Notamacropus eugenii: one gene and its partner. The protein of the gene in region 1 interacts with the protein of each later gene in a pairwise test. Links are inferred from orthologs where the notes say so. Each region holds a gene or a part of one and is shown in the gene's direction. Other genes may lie near its edges. The genes, in order: ERLIN1 and anterior gradient protein 3-like.

Region 1 (7,782 bases):
GTCAGTGGTCAGGAATAAGGCTGGGTCTAGGACTGGAATTAGTTTTACAGGTTGTGCCTGAGAAAAGTCAATCTTGTACCCCATTTCAGCTTGTGGCCAAGGATCTGCCACCATCACCTCTATACAGATGAAGTCCTAAAACTTTATTCCTACCTTTACTATCTTCCCAGGTCCTAGGCCAATTTTTTCCAGTTGACTCATAGACATCTTCACCTGACTATCCAGTTGGTATTTTAATCTCAAAATATCCAAAGCTGAAATCAGTCTTTCTTTCTTCCCTATACCCAACCTGCCCTGCCCTTCCTTTTAACATGTTTCTCTCGATGATGTTACCATTTGTTCATTTATTTTTTACTTGAATAGTCTTGATAATTATCTCTCTCTGCAATATCTTTTGCTGTCTCCCTTCTCTCACCATCTATTGTAACATTGTTTTAGAGTCTCTTCTAGGTAATTTATTTAAATAGCCTCTTAATTGGTCTTCTTGCCCTGGTTTCATCTCCCCTCCATTTAAATTTATTTGCTTGTCTGAGTAATCTTTCTAACCCTAACCCACAGTGATCTAGTTATTTCTAATGACAATTAGCATTTGTCTGTCCCTTTAAAGTGTTCAGAGCGCTGTGTATACATTTTCTCATTTGCTCCTTGCCACAAAGCTATAAAGGTGGGGCCCTTGGAGATCTCTTCCATCTTTCCATCTATAATCCTGTGACTTCAAGTTCAACGGTTCTTTTCAACAACATGCTCAGTTGTTTCAGGTGCGTCTGAGTCTTCATTACCCCATTTGAGATTTTCTTGGTAAAGATCATGGAGTGGTTTGTCATTTCCTTCTTCAGCTCATTTTACAGATGAGGAAACTGATGCAAACAAGGTCAAATGACTTGCCCAGGGTCACACAACTAGTAAGTGTCTGAGGTAGCCTTTGAACTCAGCTCTGTCCTGATTCTACTGCTATCATATAGCTGCCTCAGCTCTCTCTACTGGGCTAAAAAAACCTTCTTCATTGCCTACCTACTAAAGTATAAACTGATCTTCACTTTCAAGGTTACCTACCATCTGGTTCCAATTTACTTCATAGCCTTATGTTTATGCTCATTCTCTCATTCTTATTCCACCTAGTCTGTCTCCTTGCCTGTTTGGTTATGTACACCCCCCAGTGGCTCTCACACAATGGACACTTCATGTTTGTTAGATTTGCATCTTTTTGAGAGGTAGCCTCAAATGGTGGGATGATCATGGGTTAGCCTTTTAGTGCCTCACACAACTCTCTGCAAATTAAAAAAATTGTATTTTGATATTTGAGGTATGGGGATTGGAGTCATATATATGTATATATATACACACACACATATATACACATATACACATACATACATACACACATGCATAAATACATATATACATACATACATATATATATAAAATTTCTGTGTTTGTCCTCCGTTTTCCAAGAAGACCATGCCATCAGAGAAATGATGACATGTCTTGCACTTGACTTTGTTTTGAGTGAGGGAGGGATGTGCAAGGTTACAAACCTCACTTTCTCTTCTGAACCATCCCATGTTCCTGAACCTATTATTCAAGTCCCTAAACAATTGGGAAGCACCATACCTGAAGGTCTCATCCAACTCTAGATCTACCTCTTGACATGACTTTGTATTTACTTATCTATGTCCTGGAAGCATGGCCCCATGGGAACAACTCTGGTTCTGGAGTCAGAAGAGCCTTCCTGGGTGGCTCCCCCTCTACAGCTCTCATTTCTTCCATGTTCCAGTGAGGGGAGTGCACTCAATGGCTTCTCACATCCTTTCTGCCCTAAAAGTATGAGGCTGGCTTTTACATTGGGATCCCAGAGACTCCTTGAAGGGAGGGACACTTTGTCTTAGTTTGCAGATTACCTAGCAAAGTACCTTGTACAGAACAGGCACTTGGTACTTATTGAACTGAATTGCCCTTAGATAGCTTAGAAGTACCATGATGTATTTATCTGTGTCCCACCTGCAACTTAGCCCAGAGGTGGAAGTGTCTGAGAAAATGCAGAATTGAAAAAGCTGGTGCAGATGCCGGGAGGCAGCAGCCCCTGGAAGTGGGAAGATGAGGCTTCAGTTCCTGGCCCAACTCCTCCTTTTACTCCTCTGGGCTGAGTGGACAAATACTCCACTGATTAAATCACAAGACCAGCTTAAAAACAACCACCAAACTAAGGACTTCTCCCAGGACATCTAGGTTGATTTCCCTAGAGTGCTGAGAGATTCGAAGACTGACTCAGGGTAACACAGTCAGGCGATGTCACAGGCAGAACTAGAACCCAGATCTCATGACTCCAAGGGCAGACCTTTATTCCCAGTGCTAAGCTGCCTCTCAACACTTGAGCTAGGTTTGAAAAGCAATGAAGGATGGGAATAAGCATTTGTATCCTACCTAATATGTGCTAGGCACTGTGCTAAGCACTTTATAAATAGCATCTCATTTGATCTTCACAACAACTATTTGAGGTATGTGTCATTATTATTCACATTTTAGAGTTGAGGAAACTGAGACAAACCTGATGTTAAGTGACTGGACCAGTTGCTAAGTATTTAAGGCTGGATTTCAACTTACTTCTTTCTGACTCAAGGCTCAGCACTGCTTTCACTTCGCTACCTAGTTTCCTGCTACATTGTGGAATACAAATGAATACAATCTGTCCTTACAAGCTACATAATGACACCCTTGGAATTTCCTCTTGTCAGACTACTTATTTATTAAGCACACACCCACAGTCCTGAGTCCTTCTGACTCTATGGTACAAAAGGCCCAGCTGAGGATACTTTCTCCCAATGTAGCTTGGTACCTTTGCAACACACAAAACCAGTACGTTTCAGGGGTAGGATTTGAACTCAGTCTTCCTGACTCTGGGGCCAGTTGTCTATCCATTGTGTCTTGCTGCCTTTTTCTTTTTTTTTTTGTTGGTACAAATTTTTAAAAAATTATTATCTTATTTGTTTTCACTGTTCTACAATCATTTCCATATATCTTAAATTTCCCCCCCTCCCTCCCCTCCCTCCCACTCCCTCCCTGAGAGGGCATAGTTTTATATAGGTTCTACACATACATTCCTATTAAATACATACCTTAGTCATGTTGCATAGAAGAATCAAAATGAATGGGAGAAACCATAAAACCAAAACATAATACAAAAGAAAATGATCTGCTTCATTCTGTGATCTGAATTCCATAGTTCTTTCTCTGGATGTGGAAGGCATTTTGCCTTAAGAAACGATTGGGAATTTTTTAAGTCTTTGCACTGCAAGAAGTACCAGAAAAAATTCCTTGCACACTGTGGTTGTTGCTGTGTATAAAGTTCTCCTGGTTCTGTTCCTTTCACTCAGCATCAGTTCATATAAGTCTTTCCAGGCCTCTCTGAAGCCTTCCTGTTCATCATTTCTTATTTGCTGCCTTTTTCTTTTCTAAGAGGAGATGAATGGGCATCTTACTTCTTGGTGTGTTGTCACATCTTTGAAAAACAAAGTTAACCCCTCCCACAAGATCACAGTGAGGAATTTCCACTCCCATTTCTGAGTTGTAACACAAGCAAGATCATCCAAGTTTTTTCTCTCATATATAATAAGTTGTTAAAAATTCATTTAACTTTTGTTTCAAATTCTTTTCCTCCCTGTAAGCTTGCTCCCACACACTGAGAAGGCAAATATATGATACTCCCATAATAAAACATAATAATTGTTTTAATCATTTAAAATAGTCTAATATGTCCAAGCATGAACTTAAGCCTGTTCAACAAGCATTTATTGGCAGTTAATAACTATAAGTTCAACTGAGCTAAAATCGAAATATAAGAAGCAAACCCATCCTCCAGGAATAAAACAAAAAGAAACCCTCCCCCCTACTTCCCCCCCCTCCCCACTTTCCCCCCTTCCAAGCAAACCTTTTGTTTAGGAGAGGAGTTACAATAAAACTTGAATGAAAAGAAATGGATGTTTGTTCACTTCAAGTCCTTATATCTATCAGAATTATCAGTTGCATAATTACTATTTCTTTTTCATAACTTTCACTGCAACTTAGTGAGAAGTTTCTGCAAAAGAAAGAAATGAATTTGACATACCAGACACTTCCAGTGGTTTGTTGAAATCTCTGTTTCATTTGATTCATTCCTTTCTTATACATGCATATATGTATGAAAGTATGCTTGTTCAGAGAAGGCAGGCAGAATCTTAATCTTTATTGGATCGACTGGGCAGCTGGGAAGGTGGATGGCAGGCAAAGCTGAGGGGCTGCCCACCTAGCTGTTTGCTCTATCCCACAGCTCCCTAGTGAAAGAGAAAACCTCCCAGAAATTGACATGGTGCACAGGAGCTTCAGGGTCTATGTCCCTGCCCCACCCTTCCTCGGAAGCAGGCCTCCCACGCCTGTGCCACGTGGATCTAGGCTCCTATCCTAACATCCCCACCAGGGGGAGACAAACCCAAGCAACGCGCATCGAGAGCGAGAGACCAGTTTTGTCTCGGCTCACTCGCCGTCTCCCCCTTTTGACCGTACAGGATGTGACCGCGCATGCGTATACCGGGCGCCTGCGCAGAAGCGCGGGACTGTGGGCCCGCCGGCGGTTGTGGGCGGCCGGTGGTCCCTGGCAAGGTGGGCGACGAGCTCGGCGCGTCGCCGGGGAGATGCGCAGCCGATCGGTGAGACTGGGGGCGGGCGGGGAGGGCGGGAGGCAGAGGCATCCTCCCTCCTCAGGGGGCTGTACCTGAGGGGGAGGCGGCATCCGCGGGGCAGGGGGCGTCACTGAGGGGCGCGGCCGTCACAAGCCACCTCCGCCGAGGCGGGGGCCGGGCACCCCGGTCCCCCAGGTTGTCCCGAAGGGCGGGGCTGCCCGCCCGGGCCCGAGGCTGAGGGGAGGCAGGGAGCAGAGGCGATGTCAGGCAGGGGCGGGGGCTGCCGCCGGGGAGAAAGCAGGTGTGGGGGGCCCGGTAGAGGAGGTGCCCGATGGGGTCATCTAGTCCAGCTCCTGCTCGGACTGGCGACCTGCAGCCCCTGGCGCTCCCCACCGGGAAGCCGAAGCCCAGGCCTTCTCTGGGGGAGGGACGTGGATGACTTGTACCCGAGAGCGGAGGGGGTGGGAGGGAGAGGAGTTGCTGAGAACTTGCTGGAAGAGACCGGATTTGAACTCGGGTCCTCCTGACTCCCGGGCCGGTGCTCCGTTCCCTGGGCCACCTAGCCGCCTCTAAGCAGGTCATCTGGCTACACAGTCAGCCTTCTTTTCCAGGGCAGTCTGGAGGGTGGTGGCTGCAGAGGAGCAGGCGACCACTCACTAGCGGGGATGATCAGTGAGGGGTGGGGCAAGAATGGCCGGAAGGGAGGGTCAGAGGCTGATGTGAGGGGGTGTCCCGGAGGGCAGTTTGTGTCTCTTCGGTCAGTCGGAGTCCAGGGGGAGTATTGAGGCTGAGCCACTCCTTAGGTGATAGGAAGTCATGGAGGAGGGGGAGATCACTAAGGGTGGACTTAGTCACAGAGAGAGAAGGAAGAGTCACTTGGGATTCCCTGTTTCTTTGCCCCTGAGAAGCAGGACTGAAAAGTGGATATCCTGACGGGAGAGAGTTTGCCACTAGACTTGGAAGACTCAGGGCTGTCCAGCTTCCACCTGACACTGTGTGACCACGGACAGTTCCCTGGCTTCCCTGACACTATCCCTTAGGGATAAGGATACCTATAGTCCTTACTTCCTAGCATTGCTGTTAGAATTAAGTGAGATAAGTTGTATGTGAAGCTGGCTACATTAAGAGACTGTACATTAATGTCAGCCGTTATAAGGACTGTCTGAGGCAAAGTGGAGGGACCATTTGTCAGGAATAGACATTGTCATTGAAGGGGAAGGAAAAATTATCACTTAAGAGAGTGGGCGTTTCTGGAGGTGTCTCTGGAGGAGAAGGGGAGTAGGAGGTTTTTTTTTTTTTACTGAACCAGAAGGTTCGGTCACAGGTAGGAGTGAGGATCCTCACAGTGAAGAGTGAGGGGAGACCATGTTAAGGCTAGTGACTTTGTAGATGGGTGTGTTGCTGAGGGGGGATAAGTAGGGTAGGAGATGTCTGATCAGACTGAAATTCATTGAGGGAGGAAAGAAAGAGTATCGTTGAAAGGGAGATTCTAGAAAAGAGGGATTATTGGTAAAGAGGAAGTGTCTTGGGAAAATTGCTGTTAACTGAAGGAAAAAGGTATTTGTCAGGAGATGTTGTAATTGAGAGAGATAGAGATTGTCCTTGAGGGATGGATGGGGTGGCTGGGTGGGGTTCATTTAGAATTATTGAGTGAGAAAAAGGGGGTTGGAGAGGGAAGGGGGAGTGAACTGGTGGGCTGAATGGAAAAGATGTGATAAGTGGGTAATGGAGGATTTTGTGGGAATAGCTGTTGGGGAAGAGGGAGGTCACTGGAAATAAGGGTGGAATTATGGTGGGTTTTGGGCAATGGGTGGGTCAGAGAAGAAGGGACCATTTCTATGAGGGTGCAGATGAGGGAGGGGAGGAAGAGAGGCTCCTTTGGAGACCTAGACTTCTCAACATTGGTTATAGAGAGGGGACTGGACCATCTGGGGAAAGGGAGATCAGAACTATTGGTTCGCTCCTCATATAGGAAGAGCCAGGATGAATATGACTCAAGCCGGGGCTCTGGGGGCTGCAGCTGCAGGGCTGGTGGTGGTTCTCCTCTACGCCTCCATCCACAGGATCGAGGAGGGACACCTTGCTGTGTACTACAGGTGAGTGCCAGGTCATGGGAGCCCAACAGACCAGTGTGTACATCCAGCCTAGGTTATCCAACAAAGACAGCTATGATCCCTGGGAATTTGGAAGTTGTCCTTACTACAGTATTGTCTCAGAGTCCTGGAATTGGGTTGATTATCATCAAGCAACCTTTGTGAAGTACATAGTACTGCGGGGGGCGGTGCCACCGACATTGGTTACAACTGGTTTGACTTTTACACACTGCAGAGGCCCAGGGTTGTCCTTGAGCCTCAGTGGCATTCAGTGTTTGTGGGGCTGGTACTCTTATTTGTTTGTTAGCTTCTTCCTGACAACCTTTTTCTCCAGGAGTTTTCCTGAATCTGATCACTCTAAACAGTGACCATAACACATTATGGCTAAGAAGGATGAGATGCAGATAAATGTGTAAATAGTTTTGGGTACACTCTACTTTTCCTCCTTTTCAGCCTGTGTTAGTCTAGCTTACAGGGTAAGGGGAAAATAGTGTGGAAAATTTAGTTTCTCTTAGATGTTATTGCCAGCACTTCTCACAGAGATCTGTTATCTACAGGGAGATCAGTCAATGGAGGCCTTGGGCAGAGAGTTAATTAAAAGAGTATTACCACTCCCAGTTTCAGTGTATCCTTTCTCCTAACTCTTGAGTTGAACACATTTTTCTAATTGAGGACATAGACATACTTTAAACAAGCTTGTTTTTGAATATTTTTACAGGTAGGTCACTATAGGGGTAATTTGGTAGAAGAAATGACAAACTGTGACTAGTAGTTAGGAATGGTATTTTGTTTCAAATTAACAATGACTTGGATGTACCATCCAAGATCTAGGCTTATCAGGTTAGAGTTCCTGCAAATATTCCATTTCCCATAAAATTGCCAAGATTTGATTATCCATATATTTGTTATAAAACCTGTTTGCATTTTCAGCATGTTATACCTTTTTACTTCCCATAAATTCTAATATCAATATTCTCATCAATGGCATGGAGGCAGATTCTATACCAGGGGACTTCTGATAAACCCTATAAAGTCAG
Region 2 (7,083 bases), on another chromosome or scaffold:
CCCTGGGCTTCTGGGGCAGTAGACTTCAGTTTGGTTACTGCTTCCTGCCCTCGCTCTCACCATCCTACAAAGAACTCCCCAGTTCATTCTGCCAAATCCCCCCTTCTTTTCGCACCAAGCAAAGTTTTACTTTCCCAACTTCTTTCACATAGCTAAATCAGGGCAAAAATCCTCTCCCTCCAGATTTGTGGATCAGAACCTTCCTAAAGCCTTTCTGGTGGACTCAAAGAATCCTAGGATTCCAAGTCCATTGACCAGTGTGTGGTTCTTCCCTCATTGAGCAAGACTTTGTCCTAATTCATCTTCCTTCTGACTTGAATCACTTCTTGCATTATTTTCCTTTTTGAATTGGGGAAGTGGGTTGGGGGTGGGTAGCACCCCAGTTCTGATCCAGGAACTGAGAATGGTCCTAATAGCCCTTGTATTCCCTGCTAGGGGAGAAGTGTCTGTTTCAAGAGGCTCCAAAACCGCAGCTGCCACTTTCTTTTCCATCTGAACCATGGACAAACCACTAAGCAAGTTTCCTCTTTTCAAAGATGGGGCCAGTGAGAACAGCAGCAAGACTCAGAGAAAGCAATGCATCTGAATGCAGGATACCTGGTTTCCAATTCTGCCCCAAGCCCTTCTTCCCCTTGCAAAGGCAGCTAGCCAAGGTGAAAGGAGCTAGAGGATGCTCACAAGCTACGAGATTCTGGGCAAACCATTTAGCCATTATGTGTCTGAGCTTCTCCATCTGAAAAATGAAGCTAATAATAGCACTTACTTCCCAGACTTACTGGGAGACTAAATTATAAAGCACTTTGTTTTAAAGGGCTATATACATGCTAGCTATATTTAAAAATGTTTTTTCTTAAACTACAGAAAAGCTTTCCCCTTTCTGTCTCTTTGGGCCTCAGTTTCCTCATCTTTAAAAGGAAGAGGTGTACTAAATGACTTCTGAAAGACCTTCCAGCCCAAGATCCATGGAGGCAAAGATATGTACCTGTTGAAATGAGCTGCAGGGTTGCTATTAGAGTCATATGAGATCATGGACATGAAGAGTTCTAGAGAAGTGAGTTGTAATCCGGAAAAATAAAGTCACTGATCACATCATAATAAAAGGGCATGCTTGTCTTCATCTACTTGAAAGTCACCCAGTCAAATTGGGAGGAAAATGCCTGATTAACTAAGAAGAATTCATTCCATTTGTGATCTAACAGGGAGGGGTGACCTGCTTGCCAAAGGGCTAGGCTTAATGCAAAGCTGCTTTTGAATAATTCAAGAGAATAGAAATGCTCAAGGATGCTTATGCATTTATGGAAACAAAAATCTTCGAATGTTTAAATAAAAAGGCAAATTCTCTTTGTTTTCAGATTTTTAAAGAATTTGTCTACAATAGACACCCAACTCCCCTATCAAAGAGCTATCTTGACAAAATATGCTATTCTCCTTCATGCCTCTGGTGGAATGGTCCCAAAGAAGTAATGTTGATTTTAGAATCAGACGACATGGGACCCGCATCATAGGTCTGCCATTAAGAGTCTGTGTGATTTGGGGGAATCACTTCTCCCCGTTGGCCTCCATTTCTTATCTGTAAAATGAGGGGTCAGTCTAAAGGACATCGATCATCCTTTCTAGTTCCATCGATGTCTGCTCTTACATCATCATAGATTTAGACCCGGGAAGCACTTTAGGGAATGTTCAGTCCAGCAGTCTCAGTTGGTGGATAAGAATTCTAAAGTTAGTCTCATAGATTGGGAGGGAAAGAAACTTGGAGATCATTGAGTCCTAATTGTTCACTTCAAAGATGAGGAAATGGAGACTCTGGGAAACAAGGTCCCCCAGGTTAAGCACCAAGGTGGGGTTTGAAGGGAGAGGCTCGGCCTCAGTGTCCTGGGTTCTTATCACTAGCCCCGCCTCTAAGTTGCCTCAAAATTGAGGGGAGGAGGGGGTAGCTGTAAAGCACAGATGTGAAATATGAGGGAAAGAATCTGTTCTTCATCTTTTACATGATTTTCTACAATAAAAGACATAATTTGCCCCCCAGAGTAGCCAGAGAGGCTCCCTAGATGTCCTATCAGCAACACAAATACCATGTTTTCAACAAGACTCTTTCTACCTTTCCCTTCAAACCTGTCTCTCCTCCAAGCTTCCCTGTTTCAGCAGAGGATGCCTCAATTCTTCCAGTTACCCAAAGTTACCCTGTGTCTCTCACTTTCTCTCACTCCACATACCCCATTCATTCTATCAGCAGAACAGGTCTTTTCCCTATGGTTGTCCCCACTCTCACAGCCCCCACCTTATATGACCATTCCTTCTTAGTCTCCATTGGGAAATCTTCCTCCAAGTTATGTCTATTCATTGGGAACACATTATCTCTCCTCTGGACTATTAGAGTAGCTTTCTTTCTAATTGGCTTTCTGGTCTCACAATCCAGCCTCCACAGAGGTTCCAAAGCCTGGATCAGGCCCCTGCTAAAATGTTCAGTATCTTCCTACTACGTCAATGATAAAATACAAAATGCTCAGCCTTCCACATTAGCTTCCTCCTCTATTTCTTGACTTATTACCCCCATTCAAGCACTCCATTCTGGTCCAACTACTCTACTAGCACTCCTGAAACACAACATCCCTATGTCCCATGCCTTTACCTTGACACAGGGGGGGCCTCCTTGCCTGGAATGATCTCCCACCTCATTTAGACCCTTTAGAATTCCCAGCTTCCTCCAAAGTCCAATCCAGGTATCATATCACCTTTTTACACAGTATTTCCTGAACCTGCCCACTATGAGTGCTCCCCCCCACCTCAAAACTACTGTGTATATGTGTTGTATCTGCTCATCTGGATTAATACTGTATTCATGAGTGGAATTTACATTCCTTAAAAGCAAGAACTCTAGACTTTATTAATAGTAGTAGTGATGATAATAATAGCTAGTGTATGTACATATAAATAATAAAGGGATAGATACTCCAAGGGGAGAGACAGAAAGGAGGAAGAAAGAGAGAGACAGAGACAGAGAGAGAGAGAGACAGTCAGAGAGACAGAGAGAGAGGGAGAGAGAGAGAGAGAGAGAGAGAGAGAGAGAGAGAGAGAGAGAGAGAGAGAGAGAGAGAGAGAGAGAGAATGTAACATTTCCGTGGGCTAACTCATTTGTCTTTATATCCCCAGTGTCAAGGAAAATGACCAGCAATCATTGGTGGTTAATAAGTATTACTTGAATGGAAAAGAACACACTAGAATGTACAATGACATTTTCAGTAGCTTTTGGGAAGAGAAGACTTAAGTTACTCCAACCACACACAGACTTTGGCTCCCCAGCATCCAAAGTAAAACGGAGCTCCTTAGAAACTGTGAATTATATACCTTTCACTCTCTGAATTCCGCACACGTGCATATTATCATCTCTTTCAAAGCTGAGGCCTTCGGTGACTTGGGCTTTTCTGACTGGCTGTTCAATCACTCTTCTCAAGTAGAGAACATCAAGGTCTCCTCTCAAATAAGCTGCCAGCTTTGGAGAGATAGGAAGGACCTGATTAGACCTGTCTGGCTCCCTTGGCAGAGTAAACTCATTAAATACGCAGGAGCAGCAATACATATGACTGTTGCTGTTACAGGAATCTTAGAGGGAACTGATGTCCATGGGAGGATCAAAAGTAGTTTCCTGATTTTCCTCTCGAGATAATTATATCATCCTTGTTCCAGAACAATTAGTCTAGCTCTCTGCTCATTAGTTTTAATGAGTCACATGGATGAATGGAGAAACAGGTGGGGAATTGGCTCTCCTTTGATCTCAGGATCTTTTTCCAGGCTTCTGACTATGATCACTTGCATGGGAGTAAGTCTGCATGGAACATAAGAGATCCATGTGGGCTGCGGACAGTGGGCGGCCAACACCAACAGCTGCCTGGAGAAGAACAGACCCAGAATGTGGGTTCACCCAGCAGGTGGAGACCAGTGCAGCTGGAGAAGAGCCTGGCAAGCTCATTGTCACAAGTGCCCAGGTCTGGGGCCTTACCCACATGTTGTCCAGCCTCCCTTGGCTCCTGCGTCAACAATGTCTCTGCACCAAGGGTTTGGGAATTGGAAATAACCCTGATGAGCATCTAATCCAGTTGTTTTATTTTACAGTTAAAGAAACTAAGGCTGAGAGAGGGGAAATCAGAGATGTGACCAGGGTTGAGAGACAGTGAATTAAGGAAGTCAGAAAAGCAGTGAGAGATGTAATGGAAGGAATGACTGTTCAGTGCAGCATCAGAATTGAGAAGGAAGGACATGGTTATTGAAAGGGGAATGGGCCTTGAGCAGCCTAGAAACAAAATAAAGCTTAGAACATCTTAGCAAAAACCAAAAAACTAGAATACAGTAGCAGGGATTGGCCCAATGGTGACCGGACTCACAGGAGTTCACTGCCATCCCATCCCATTGTGGTAGTCATTCTTCCCAAATGGCACCAAGTTCTCTTTGAATTATTTGCAAAGGGGGATGTAACAACTGGCCGCTCTACCACTCAACTCAGGGCACAGCAGTGCCTTGGGATCCATAGTCATCTGACTAGAAAGAAATTGGATTTCTGCTGTTGAGGACCCAAAACTCTTGATGGCAATAATAATGATAACTGTTGGTCTTTCTGTTTTCCATTTTGATTATGACAATAGAAGCAAGGATTGTGAATAACAATCACATTTATAGAGAGCTTAAAGGTTTATGAAATACTTTTTTCACAACATAGCTCCAAGTTGAAATACAAATGCAAATGACCCCATTTTAGAGATTAGGAAACTGAATCTCAGAGGGACTTAAGTGATTTGCCCAGGATCAACACAGCCAAAGACTTGTCAGTCAAAATTTGAACTTGAAAATCTTTGACTTCACTGTCCGGATACTCCTTTGGCCATCAGTCCTCTGTCTTTGATGCCCCCACTAAGGTGGTTTGTTGTTCAAGCTCTGGACTTGGAATCAGGAAAGTATGGCTAGAAGTCCTGCCTCAGACACTTAAAAGATGGTGACTCTCAGAAAATCATTTAATATCTGTATGCCTCAGTTTACTCATCTATATACTGGGGAAGAGGCCACCACCATGGTTTAAAAGTTCCTTTTCATCTTTAACCAATGATCCTAGGATCTCTCTGTTGTCTTTCCCACTTAGAAATTGTTTTCACTTCCATGGCCCTACTTCTTTCCCCTACAGATAACAGTCATATGACTATCTTCAACCCAGTATTCCTATGCCACATCTACAGTTACCAGTTTGATAATGCCACAAATATAACCCCATAATAGTGCTGCTGGGGAGAAAGTCCACTCATTCTTCTTCAGGACTGATCTGATCATTAGCATCACCTCTTGGACCCTTCTCCCACTGCCCCTCATTCGGCTCATCTCCTCCTCACCCCACCTTCCCAGGGCCAAGAAGCATGAGGCTAGCCCCTCTCTCACATGACAGACCTTCAAATAGCTGACGACACTTAACAACACCTCCCCCCACCCCAGCATCTGCAGACAAATTGAAAGCAAACTCCTCTTTTCTCTCAAAATCAGTTCCCCCTCCCAGCTTCCCTATTTCTTTGAGTGCTGACGTCCTTTTCTCCGTCACCCAAGCTCAAAACCTGGAAGTCTTCTCCAAGCCTTCCTTCTTCTTTGACCCTCCAACAGTCAATTCATTTTCAAGTCCCAGACATCCCTCTTTGAGTCAAGTCCCAGCCGTCCCTCTCTTGAATCCATACATTTCTTCCTATACCCATGGCCACCGCTCTAGTTCAGGACTTTCCTGTACTCTCATAGTAGAATCTTCATTGGTCTCTGTCTCCAGCTCTCACATCTCTTGATCCATCCTGAAAACTGCTGCCAACCTAATGCTCTTAAGTGGGCATTTTGATCATCTCACCCTGCTGCTCAGCGATTACGAATGTGTACCTACTGTTTCCCTGGCGAAGCGTTGTAGACCCATTTTGCCCGTAGAGCCTCACCACCAATTCCTATGACATTGAAATTAGCCTATTAGCTGTTCCCCAAACATTTCAGACACTGTCTCACAACCACATCTTTTTTTATCCTGTTCTCCATGTCTTTCTTGCATCTTTCTCCATTCTTTCTAATAATCAAAATGCTATTAATTTTTAAATACTCCATAAAACCTTCTTCATTCAGGAAACCTTTCCAGACTACAGAGATAATAACACCCCACATTGAGATACCTGTTTAAGGTTTTCAAAGCACTCTCTGTGTATCTGAACCTCACAAAAGCCATGTGAGGGATATGCTACAGGTATCTCAAATTGGCACATGTGGAAACTGAGTCTCTGAGAGTTTTAATGAGCTGCCTATGGTGATACAAGTCATCTTAAGTCAACAGACATTCACTAAGTGCTTACTATGTGACAGGGCCTGTGTTAAGCCCTGAGGATGCAAAGAGATGCAAAAATAGTCCCTTTTCTTCAGTGGCTCACATTCTAATGGGGGAGAATACACATAAATGACTGATTGCATACTTTGGCTGAGACTACATGTAAATAACTATGAGATACACCCGGCATAGAAGGAAGGTAATCTCAGAGTGAAGACACTTGGAGTGAGGGTATGAGGGAAAGCCACCAACAGAAGGTACGATTCCAGCAGAACCTTGAAGGAAACCACGGAAGCCCCAGAGGGAGATGAAGAGGGACAGAAGACGAAAAGGCATATCATCAAGAGATGGGGCATTATGTTAGAGAAATATCAGGACGGCCAAGGTCACTGGATCTCAGAGTATGTACAGAGGGTTAAGCCATGAAAAAAAAAAAGAAATCAAAGTTGTTAAGAGCTTTGAAAGCCAAACTGAGGATTTTGTGATTGATGCTGGAGGTAATGGGGAGCTGTTGGAGTTTATTGTGGGGGTCGGGTGCGGGGGAGGTGACGTGGTCAGATCTACACTTTAAAAAGATCATTTTGGCAGCTCAATGGAGGACAGACAGGAGTAAGGAGAAACTTGAGATTCCTCTTTGATTGGAGTTATTCCAAGACCATGTGATCATTTATCAGAAATGTGGTAGGGGGATTTTTTCTTTTTTTATTATTCTATTTATTTTTTTTTAATGTTCTACAATCACTACCATAAAACTTAGA

What was found.
Region 2: the proteins of ERLIN1 (region 1) and anterior gradient protein 3-like interact in binary tests that used the Homo sapiens proteins (3 or more experiments, as listed by UniProt). The two-hybrid records come from large-scale screens. The link is inferred for Notamacropus eugenii from reciprocal best matches to the Homo sapiens genes ERLIN1 and AGR3.

What each region holds. Positions count from the first base shown.
Region 1 is NC_092872.1:249,189,363-249,197,144, reverse strand, and holds the start of ERLIN1 (erlin-1), read left to right. Parts: upstream 1-4,557; 5' UTR 4,558-4,679; intron 4,680-5,139; exon of another isoform or gene 5,140-5,229; intron 5,230-5,403; exon of another isoform or gene 5,404-6,209; intron 6,210-6,624; 5' UTR 6,625-6,635; coding exon 6,636-6,748; intron 6,749-7,782. UniProt on the Homo sapiens protein: Component of the ERLIN1/ERLIN2 complex which mediates the endoplasmic reticulum-associated degradation (ERAD) of inositol 1,4,5-trisphosphate receptors (IP3Rs).
Region 2 is NC_092874.1:9,828,076-9,835,158, reverse strand, and holds the start of anterior gradient protein 3-like, read left to right. Parts: upstream 1-3,827; coding exon 3,828-3,975; intron 3,976-7,083. UniProt on the Homo sapiens protein: Required for calcium-mediated regulation of ciliary beat frequency and mucociliary clearance in the airway. Might be involved in the regulation of intracellular calcium in tracheal epithelial cells.